3 linked regions of the Schizosaccharomyces pombe genome follow. Changing the gene in region 2 together with the main gene of any one other region gives a genetic interaction. Each region holds a gene or a part of one and is shown on either strand. Other genes may lie near its edges. The genes, in order: cdc7, pkd2 and cdc14.

Region 1 (3,757 bases), on a different chromosome or scaffold from region 2:
TTCAATAAATGTTTCTAAATCAACAACCAAGAAGTCTTCCGTCGTTATAAAGCCAAGTACAATTACTGCACCATGGTTAGAAAATGAATACTTAGACAGTAATACTAGCTTACTTTCCGTTCATTCAATTCAACCTTCGTTTATTGGAATGTCTGACTTCGCAATTGGATTAGATCCTTCACTGAAGCGTATATTACCCGAAATAAGATTTCGCTTAGACTTTCAGCATCTAAAATCAATAGCTAAAGGGGCCACCTCTACAATCAAGGTTGTAACTCACAGAGATAAAATCACCGACGCAAAGATATACTATGCTGCCAAAGTATATCGGAAAACGAAAACATCGCATAAAAAAAGATTGAATACAATGGTTTATTTTTTAAGGGAATGGTCAATCCAACCAAAATTGGACCATCCTAATATTCTGAAAGTTATCTGCCCTTGTGTGACTTTGACAAGCGTATTTAATAAATCCGCTGGGTTTTGTTTGGTTCAAGAGTACTGTCCTCAAGGCGATTTATTTAAGCAAATTGAAGAAAAAGTTTTGACCTTAGAAGACAAATGTTGTTATCTAAAGCAAATTCTTCAAGCAGTAGCTTACTTGCAATCTCAACGTATTGCGCACCGAGATTTAAAGCCGGAAAACATCTTAATCGGAAGGGATGGATTGTTAAAGCTCACCGATTTTGGTACCAGCGAAATTGTGGGTAATCCTGGTGATAACGAATCCATTCGTTTCGTATCGGGTGCTGTTGGAAGTTTGGCATATCTAGCACCAGAAGCATTTCATGAAAATGGTAAGTCTTATGTGTATAAATTGTGTAGCAAGACGAGCTCTATCCTATTTCAAAAACGACGTACTAATAGTTCAATTGATAGAATATTGTGGTCTTTTAGCAGATAGGTGGTCATGTGGTATTTTGCTTAAAGTTCTGTTTACTGGATACTTTCCATTTAAAACTTCCGTGAAAACTGATCTTTACTACTCAAAGTATATGTCAATCCTTACAGATACTTGTGGTATTTCTTCAACTGATGAATCCAGTTTCCAAACCGAAGTCATTAAACAAATACCTACATTGCAGCCCCTCAGATATATACCTGAAGGTGCTAAGAAGATTATACTAAGTTTACTGAATCCTGATTCCCAGAATCGGCCGTCGTTGGATAGTATTTTAGGTACTGCATGGGTACGGAAACTGGATTGTTGCAGTAACTTCTCTACCGATCATGAAAATAAGAGTTTACAGGAAGTTGATTTTGATGCTTCTAAACCCATTACAAGGAAAAGTTTGATTCCTCGGATTCATAACCATCAGACACTTGTTTAACGTAGTTTAAATCACTGTCTTTTCTACTTTACTTTCCAAGCTAAAATGAACTCATTCTTCCTATGTACATGGTGTTTCCACTGACATTACTTAACCAACGGATTAGTTCCATCCTTGCCAATATTTTTTATATGTCTGTATAATACGCTTTTTCTTTTATACGAGAATCTTTGTTTATTAATGATTTTATAAATAGCTTAATTATTACTATTTACTTCTTTTGAGTTTATAACATGCAAGTTCAGGTACCGTACTAAATGTGTATGTACACTATAAAGTCCTTACTTCTTCAAACGCAGCAAATGCTACATCGTAAACAAAACCAAATTGTCTTTTCATTCAAAATTACAAATAAATTCAATTTTTAATTTGTAACTTATTCAATAGTCATGCACAATATCCAAGCATCTTCCATCGTATGCTAGTATTTAATGTTAATAGCCATTGGATTTTCAATAACATATTCAGACTCTTGGGGATTGCTTGGGCAAGGGTGCCTTCGGTGCAGTATACCGTGGTCTAAATATAAAGAATGGAGAAACGGTGGCTGTAAAAAAAGTTAAACTATCCAAAATGCTAAAATCTGATCTTTCCGTCATTAAGGTATGAAGGGATCTCAACTATTTTTCTCTAACAATTTTTAGATGGAGATTGATTTGCTTAAAAATTTGGACGTATGTTACTCATTCGTTTATAATGGTCGCCAAATACTAAACGTGGTAGCATCCAAATATTGTTAAATATAGGGGATCTTATCAGACGAACGATTCTCTATGCATTATTCTGGAGTACGTGATTTTCTTTAAAAAATTGTTTTCAAGTTAACGATATATAGATATTGCGAAAACGGATCGTTGCGCTCAATTTGTAAAAACTTTGGAAAGATTCCAGAAAACCTAGTGGCCTTATATACGTTTCAAGTATTACAAGGGCTACTTTATCTACATAATCAGGGTGTTATCCATCGTGATATTAAGGGTGCCAATATACTTACTACTAAAGATGGCACTATCAAGTTAGCAGATTTCGGGGTTGCGACGAAAATTAATGCTTTAGAGGATCATAGTGTTGTTGGAAGCCCCTATTGGAGTAAGCCTTTTCTAAGCGTATAGTTATAACATTACTAACAATTTATATAGTGGCTCCCGAGGTTATAGAGCTTGTAGGCGCCACAACAGCCTCAGATATTTGGAGTGTTGGCTGCACAGTTATTGAACTGTTAGATGGAAATCCTCCCTATTATGATTTAGATCCTACGTCCGCTCTTTTTCGGATGGTGAAAGATGAACATCCTCCCTTGCCTTCAAATATTTCTTCGGCTGCTAAAAGTTTTTTAATGCAATGTTTCCAAAAGGACCCAAATTTACGAATTAAGACCAGAAAACTTCTTAAACATCCTTGGGTGATAATGAACCAAACCTCCTCTAAATTTTCTGACGCTATAGACGAGGTTCAAAAATATAATGAAAGAGTGAAAGAAAGCACTTTGACAGCTATTATCGAGCCTACTTCCAACAGAATCAATCCGACTCTTCATTCTGGCAGGCAGTCTTCTTATCACATGCCTGAGTCTCCAAAAACACCAATTGCCGAGTCCCCAGGTAGCTTTATGATACTTTTTAACTACTCTAACATTTTTAGATCATGATAACTGGGACAATGAATTTCAAGGAACCCTTAAAATCAGTGACGATGTTTTAAAGAAATCTGAGCATTTTATGGATTTTTGCAGTAACTTTAAAGGAAAAAATAATTCCAGCTCCATAACATCATCCCCTTCGAAGTCTCGCCATGCTTTTAATTCAGATCAAATCTCTGAATCAAACAACTTTAATGCATCACCGTTGAGTACTCCTCTCAAAGCCCAATTTGATCCCTCTAAGGTAAATAATGCAGCTCGATTTTCTAGAGCTTTTAATGATTTTAAATAAATAATTAACCTTTTTTTTAGCCCGCTCTCAACCGGTCAATAGATCATCAAAAAACTCCGCAACATAAAAGATACTTGTCAACTGGTAAGTATCTGATACTAACATATAACTAATTATCTAGAGTTTAAAGAGAATATACCAGACGGAATTGAAAAATTTGTCGAGACACCCAGAGATAGTGAATTTACTGATATTTTCCCTACATCCTCAATCAAAGTTCAAGGATTGAGAAAGGAGACTGGACTGGGGACTTTGGTTTTAAACAAATGTTATGGCTCGTGGAATAATGAAGAAAATGAGGATGGGGAAGAATCGGATATCTTTGACTCTATTGAAACAAACTTAGAAAACTTGGATATTGAAAACAACATTGCTTTAGATAAGAGAACGCATCTAGCTTCCTTACTTTCCAGTCTGTTAGGCTCACTACGTGACAAGAATATCGGATCGAAGGATACAACTGTTTCGCAAATAGTAAGTGCATATTTTTATATT
Region 2 (3,757 bases):
AAATTCATTAAAGCAACACCGATATGCAAAGTATTCATGTGTTTAGTGGCATAAGGTCGGAGAATCACCATAAGAGCAAAAACGACAACGCTAATACCAAACATGGCACAGCCCTGGACTTTGGGTGAGCCCTGACCAAAACCGATGAACATTGAGCGTACCAAGGTTATAAGCAACAGTGGGAAAGTAAAGTAAAAGAAACGGACGTCTAATTGCACGTACATAAAGCCCCAACGCATCAAGTGTTGAGTGTCAGAATATAGGTTGTACAAGACGTCAGGATGGGAATAAGGTCCTGTTTTGCGGATAATTTGAATTGTCCGCACAAATGCATAGCAGAGCAAAACTGCCATGTCCACAATCACGTACATTGATAAAAATGCCAAAGCGGAAGAATCACGAGTATAGATTTCCCACATGGACAAAACACTCATTTGAGTGAATCCGACAAAAATCACACGATAGAAAAATCCTTTGGATATAGATTTCCAATAAAGACGGATACGTTGCTTTTTCAAAGCTTGATTTCTGGATGCAAGGAGCACCATTTCAACAATAAATCTAGAAGCCATAGCAACTAGTAATGAAAAGAACAACAATATAATAAAAAAGGAAAACCCAGTAGCAAAGAAATTCGTCGTTTCAATCCCCATCATATATGAAATACGCTTGATTCCCCTCAGGGTAATAGAATCACTTGTGCTAGTGGTGACAGTAGTAGTTGCACGCTTGGCGAGAGAGCCCAAATCAATACCACGTTTTGCGAGGGCGACATTAGCATGTATACCCAAATCTACAAGAGTAGATGGCGTGCCGCCAGTTGATTTAACGTACCATGTAAAAACATCTTGCATGAAGCCAATCCTGATAATACCCATCGACCACATGAAATTACGGCCCCAACTGTAAATGATAGCAGGAAGAGAAGTAGCCATCATGGAATACAAAGCCTGGATTTGAGCAAACTGAAATAAGGTAATCATCGTTTCAACGATTTCCCAAAGTGCGGGTGTTTGAAGAACAGGGGATATCAGTAAGAAAATTAAAAGTGGGATACCGATTACCATACACATAACCCAGTAAACAGCTCTGTGGTAAACAGAACGACCATTTTGCACTGTAGTACGAACACAAGCTAATTGTGTGTTTGTATCTGATTCATAAATATTAATAGTCACAACAGCATCTAAATCCGGAACTGTGTATGCAATGGAGGGAATACTATCAAGAATAGAAAGAGCCTCTCCGGTTAAAGTATGACTACCAGATAAAGCAATATTTCCAGTCTGCATTGGACAGAAGCCAGAAATTTCCATATCGCAAGGATCTATCACCTTCTTTATTTCGATTCCGTATGCACTAATGTCGACGTCTATACTGACATTCGTAGAAACAAGAGATTGTATCGAGATATCAAAGGCAACAGATTGATTGTCCGGAAAATACGAGGCATAGAGCTTACTTGCTGATAACTGTGAATCAGTCATACATGTGGACAGAGAGTCGGCGGAAATGAATCTGGTTAAAGCATCAGCCCATGAAAATAGCTCGACGACCACAACTAAGAGTAAAAGTGGGCTTCTCCAAAGCCTCATTTTGCAGTTGATGGTAGTGAGAAACAGTTGATTAATGGAAAAACAGGAAGGTGAAGTCAAAAGATGATATTAATGAATAGAAAAGACAGACTGTGAATTCCAATGTAACTGAGTCTCAAATGTAGCTAAAATTCTCCACAACCAGTTATTATTATTCTTAAATTAAGTTAGATTTGAAAACTTATTAATTCCAATTAAATCGAGGGATATATAACAATGGGAATGATTAACAAAAATATAGTTTGCTCTGGGTGGCTGTATTATCATCAAAGATTCTCAACCCGTTCAAGACAAGTGATGACTAGAGACAAATCCCGGTACCTGTTACCTTAGATCACAGCCATTTAACATGGAAAACTACCAGCACACTAACCAGTAAATAACTGGTAATTGAGGATTTAATAGTACGATAGACCTTTCTTTTTTTTTTATAAGATAATTTTTATATTCTACAGTGTCAATTGACGCTTAATCAACTCGTAACGTATTAACAAAAGTCATTTTAGCAAAACTTCTTTCATAAAGAAATTCACCACAGCTACTTTAAAATATCATAATGTAAAACTAAGCCTAATGTGACATAGTACGCAGTATAGATAGCGAAATGTTTATTAAAAGACACTAACTTTAGATTAGGAATTTCAATCGAATTTGAACACTATAATTGTTTAACATTTGAAAGTTGAATGAAAAGAATATCGTTAAATATTGCTATTTACTTTGCTGCATAGATTTGACACGTTGCGTTACGGCGGTATACATTTCGCAGTTTTCCACTTTTCCATTTTTCATACAAGCATTTTGCAAATTCCCAAACTCATTAGTAGTCTGCATTCGTTGTACAAGATGGCTAAATCCGAGTTAAAGCGGAAAAAGCATCAATCGGGTAATGAGGAAGTAAAAGAAAAACGTCAAAAACCTTTAAAAAACGATAAAAAAATTGCTGAAGAACTTCCTCAAGACGAAGACGATTACGAGCAGGAAGAGGAAAATGAAGATGCTGACCAAAATACTTCAGTAGAATCAGAAAGTGAGGAATTAGATAATGAAAATGAAGATGAGCGTGTTCAAAAATCTGTCAACCTGAACGCTTCTTCCACTTCGGATATTGAAAAGTTTTCAGACCTACAACTCTCTGAAAACATCCAAAAGGCAATTAAAGAAATGGGCTTTGAAACGATGACAGAAATTCAAAAGCGCTCTATTCCTCCTCTTTTGGCCGGTCGTGATGTTTTAGGTGCAGCTAAAACTGGTAGTGGTAAAACTTTGGCTTTTCTAATTCCTACCATTGAAATGCTTTATGCATTGAAATTTAAGCCTCGTAATGGTACTGGTGTTATTATTATATCTCCTACTCGTGAATTGGCTCTTCAAATTTTTGGTGTCGCAAAGGAGTTGTTGAAATACCATCACCAAACATTTGGTATCGTCATTGGCGGTGCTAATCGCCGTGCTGAAGCTGATAAATTGGTGAAAGGTGTTAACCTATTAGTTGCTACTCCTGGTCGTTTACTGGATCACTTGCAAAATACCAAAGGATTTGTATTCCGCAATTTACGATCCTTAGTGATTGACGAAGCCGACAGAATTTTGGAGATTGGTTTTGAGGACGAAATGAGACAAATCATGAAAATCCTTCCCTCGGAAAATCGACAAACCCTCCTGTTTTCTGCTACACAGACAACTAAAGTTGAAGATCTTGCTCGTATCTCTCTTAAGCCCGGACCCTTGTATGTTAACGTTGATTCTGGTAAGCCTACCTCTACCGTTGAAGGATTGGAGCAAGGTTATGTTGTAGTTGATTCTGACAAACGGTTTCTTCTTTTATTTTCCTTCTTAAAACGCAATTTGAAGAAAAAAGTTATTGTTTTCATGTCATCTTGTGCTTCTGTCAAATATATGGCAGAATTACTGAACTATATAGATTTACCAGTACTTGATCTTCATGGCAAGCAAAAGCAACAGCGTCGTACAAACACCTTTTTTGAATTCTGCAATGCCGAAAAGGGAATACTACTTTGCACCAATGTTGCTGCACGCGGGTTAGATATTCCAGCCGTTGACTGGATCGTGCAGTACGATCCTCCTGATGACCCCCGAGATTATATTCATCGTGTAGGTCGTACAGCTAGAGGAACAAAGGGAACTGGTAAATCCCTTAT
Region 3 (3,757 bases), on a different chromosome or scaffold from region 2:
ATTTAACGACATCTATTATTTCTTTTTTAATCCAAAAATCCTTATTTATCACCTTTTCTGCTGTTTTTACAGAAAATTGCGGAGATTAACTTTCTTTGTCTCGACTTTGAATTATCTCCTTGTGGGGATTTGGAATCTGTAGCTGCCTTTTCACCATGGGATGCATGTCGAGTAAATACGCTGATACATCAGGAGGAGAAGTCATTCAAAAGAAGCTTTCAGATACGCAAACCTCAAACAGCTCTACAACTGGAAGTCAAAACGCTCGAGTTCCAGTCCTTGAAAACTGGCTTAATATCGTCCTGCGTGGAAAACCACAAAATGTGGAAAGTTCTGGAGTACGCGTAAAAGGAAATTCTACTTCAGGTGGAAATGACATTAAAGTTTTGCTCTTAGGCGCCGGTGATAGTGGGAAAACGACCATTATGAAGCAGATGAGATTATTGTATAGCCCCGGTTTTAGTCAAGTAGTTAGAAAGCAGTATCGAGTGATGATTTTTGAAAATATCATCTCCTCTCTATGTCTTCTTCTTGAAGCTATGGATAATAGTAATGTCTCTTTACTTCCGGAAAATGAGAAGTATCGGGCAGTTATCCTAAGAAAACACACTTCTCAACCCAATGAGCCATTTTCTCCAGAAATATATGAAGCTGTTCATGCCTTGACATTGGATACCAAACTTCGTACGGTGCAAAGTTGTGGTACCAACCTCTCTTTGTTAGACAATTTTTATTACTATCAAGATCACATTGATCGAATTTTTGACCCACAATATATACCTTCTGATCAAGATATCCTTCACTGTCGTATCAAGACGACCGGTATATCAGAAGAAACATTTCTGTTAAATCGTCATCATTACCGATTTTTTGATGTAGGAGGACAGAGATCAGAGCGCAGAAAATGGATTCATTGCTTTGAAAATGTCACTGCATTGTTGTTTCTCGTTTCTTTGGCAGGTTACGATCAATGCCTTGTAGAGGACAATTCAGGAAATCAGATGCAGGAGGCGTTATTATTATGGGATTCCATATGTAACTCTAGCTGGTTTTCAGAATCAGCAATGATACTTTTTCTAAATAAACTTGATTTATTTAAAAGAAAGGTTCACATTTCCCCCATCCAGAAGCATTTTCCTGATTACCAAGAAGTTGGTTCAACACCAACATTCGTACAAACTCAATGCCCTCTTGCCGACAACGCAGTTCGAAGCGGTATGTATTACTTTTACTTAAAGTTTGAAAGTCTTAATCGCATCGCTTCTCGTAGTTGCTATTGCCATTTTACCACAGCTACAGACACTAGTTTGCTCCAAAGGGTAATGGTATCCGTTCAAGATACGATTATGTCCAACAATCTACAGTCACTTATGTTTTAGATGAATTTTTCCTTAACTATCTTCATAATCTTTTCTGTCTCATTTCTCTACTTTCATTCGCACTCTAGGAAAAGCCTCTATACTTTTCCGTGAATGGTGTCTCTAGTTAATTTCCTTGCATTTTGTATGCACTTCATGTGTTATTTCTCCATCGAAACTGTTAATTAGTGCATTCTAATTGTTTTATTTCATAGCTTCTTCGAAGCTTCGTGTAATCTTATATTGTTTTAAATAGCTCAAAATTAACTGCAGTTTTTGTTATTTGATAATTTTACGATTAATACATAACTATTGTTTAATTTAATATCTAAATTTTTTCATGTCAACCGTTTGAGACAAACTAAACCCATTGATATTAATATAATTAAATTAGGCGGATTTGATCGTAAACTAAATATAAATCTATAAGGACTCGATGTTGCTTGTTTTGTTATTTTAGGCCCCTTTTTCAAATATGGCTCCAATTCGCCTGTTAATATTCAATTGTATCCTATCTTAGCAAGCTGGTGTTTTCTCTCCCAAAACCTCAAGTTTTAGAAAATAGCAATTTAATGTAGCTGCTTCAACACTCCACCCTACTATTTATATCATTACTAAGAACGAATATAGAGTCTCTTTTTTATCTTTAACTAAACGAAGATTCAATTTACTTTTATTTATAATAAGGATTTTTATTGCCCGCTTGGCATGAGTAAATAATGATCCGGTATGGAAGATCTATTAAACAATGCTAAACAGCATTTGTGTATGAGGAATCCAAAGCTAATTCGAATTGGTTTGCGTCAAGTCGAATCTATTGTATATCATGTTGCGAAACCTAGTCATGATGATAAAATTCCAAGAGAAATTTTCCTAAAATTACAGGATTCACCATTGTATAATTCTACTACCCCTTGCATTTACGCTTTGGACAGTCTCCTTGAATATCAGCAGAATGAAGAGGCATACGAAAAAAACTTTCAATTCATTCAAAAGCTAATTGATGACTTACTGCATGTGATTGAAGGATTGGTTTTAATCCATCCAAAATCACAGACGTTATTTGAAGATAAAGCTACCTTAAGGTTATTTATTCATTTATTACAGCCATCTCAGCCATCTATGTTGCAAGTGGCTGCAATGAAAACGCTTGTATGTATCATGGCAGATCGTCCACTGGCTATTAGGCTTTTTGAGCAGATTAATGGCTTGCAGCAGATATGCGTAGTTTTTAAGCACAAACAAACAAGTCAGGACACCCGATTTCAAATTCTCGAATTTTTCTATTTCTATTTATCCCCTGAACCATATTCTATAGATGTCATTGCCTACAGGAAAACGCGGACTGAGAAACAAGCTTACCTATCCAAATATCTTTCTAACGTACAAGGGCTTCGAGATGATTTAGATAAGTTTCAACCATTTGGCAAGTTAGACGAAACATTCGACTAGTTAGATGCAATGCCTGGTGCAAAAAAATGTTTAAAGTCTCATTGTTAACTTATTTTTGAAAATTTAGTATTCATTTACTAAAGAATTTCTAATGTTAATGTTAAATTATTAATCGATCATCTTACTATTGAAAGTATTCCAGCATCCTATAGCATTTGTAAAAAGTCAACCAGTTTTACTTTCATACTACTAAGAGATCCCAAACCTCCAGAATCCAGCTAAACGAACTGTGAAGACCGACAAAGATTCCGTCCCAACATGTGATATCAACTAAACTGCGTCCCTCCCCAATATCGTCTCGACGACGCAAAAAACTGAAAGAAGGAAGTCTTTGTGTGTGGGCCAAAGATGACACATTTGCACCGATACTAGAGGATATCTCATACGAAGGAGCAGTTCCTATATTTGAAGAACCCGATAACGAAGAAATGTTAAAACTGGGGGATGCAAACGTTCCATTGCTAGAGGAGGCTGTTGTTTTTGAACGGGAGGAGGAGTAGTCATTCTTTGTATTGAAAGAAGAAATCCTTAGAAACTGGACTATATGAAGAAACTTTTCAGAAATAAAACTATATCGCAAAATCAAATCTAACTGATTTGGACAAGTAGCAATAATCGCATATCTTCGAAGTCCTCCCCGGGCAGAGGGATCTCTTAAAGAAAAAGACTGACTAATAACGTAACCGTTATCTTGGTCTCCAAAGAACAAAGGATTTGACATAGAATCGGAAGCTTCAGATAGTGTTGAATATTCACAGCTCAAGCAGCGAACCATTAATCGCTTAAGGGTAGAATATCGTTGCTGAGTATGTGGATGTTGACTAGACATGTATAAAACATCGGGGTTTGTACTTGAGTTTGTATAAAGTCGTGGTTGAACATCAGGTACAGAGAATTCAAGGGGTAAAACAGTACTACATGTAACACAAGATGATTTTCTCGAAATA

What was found.
Region 1: of pkd2 (region 2) and cdc7, changing one suppresses a phenotype caused by changing the other (phenotypic suppression), as found in Schizosaccharomyces pombe (one study listed by BioGRID).
Region 3: of pkd2 (region 2) and cdc14, changing one suppresses a phenotype caused by changing the other (phenotypic suppression), as found in Schizosaccharomyces pombe (one study listed by BioGRID).

The regions. Positions count from the first base shown.
Region 1 is NC_003423.3:3,224,394-3,228,150, reverse strand, and holds the start of cdc7 (serine/threonine protein kinase SIN pathway Cdc7), read left to right. Parts: upstream 1-1,645; 5' UTR 1,646-1,720; coding exon 1,721-1,747; exon of another isoform or gene 1,748-1,799; coding exon 1,800-1,934; exon of another isoform or gene 1,935-1,975; coding exon 1,976-2,005; exon of another isoform or gene 2,006-2,054; coding exon 2,055-2,119; exon of another isoform or gene 2,120-2,166; coding exon 2,167-2,420; intron 2,421-2,470; coding exon 2,471-2,932; intron 2,933-2,972; coding exon 2,973-3,214; intron 3,215-3,282; coding exon 3,283-3,346; intron 3,347-3,383; coding exon 3,384-3,736; intron 3,737-3,757. Other genes in the region: serine/threonine protein kinase Ppk24, read left to right, coding at 1-797, 880-1,331. UniProt on the Schizosaccharomyces pombe protein: Protein kinase essential for cell division. Plays a key role in initiation of septum formation and cytokinesis.
Region 2 is NC_003424.3:4,217,839-4,221,595, reverse strand, and holds the start of pkd2 (plasma membrane TRP-like calcium ion channel Pkd2), read right to left. Parts: upstream 1,846-3,757; 5' UTR 1,596-1,845; coding exon 1-1,595. Other genes in the region: ATP-dependent RNA helicase Has1, read left to right, coding at 2,442-3,757. UniProt on the Schizosaccharomyces pombe protein: Acts as a key signaling component in the regulation of cell shape and cell wall synthesis through interaction with GTPase Rho1.
Region 3 is NC_003423.3:2,330,183-2,333,939, forward strand, and holds the start of cdc14 (SIN component Cdc14), read left to right. Parts: upstream 1-1,943; 5' UTR 1,944-2,087; coding exon 2,088-2,810; 3' UTR 2,811-2,991; coding exon of another isoform or gene 2,992-3,757. Other genes in the region: gpa1 (G-protein alpha subunit), read left to right, coding at 156-1,379; folliculin bhd1, read right to left, coding at 2,992-3,757. UniProt on the Schizosaccharomyces pombe protein: Has a role in the septation initiation network (SIN) required for cytokinesis.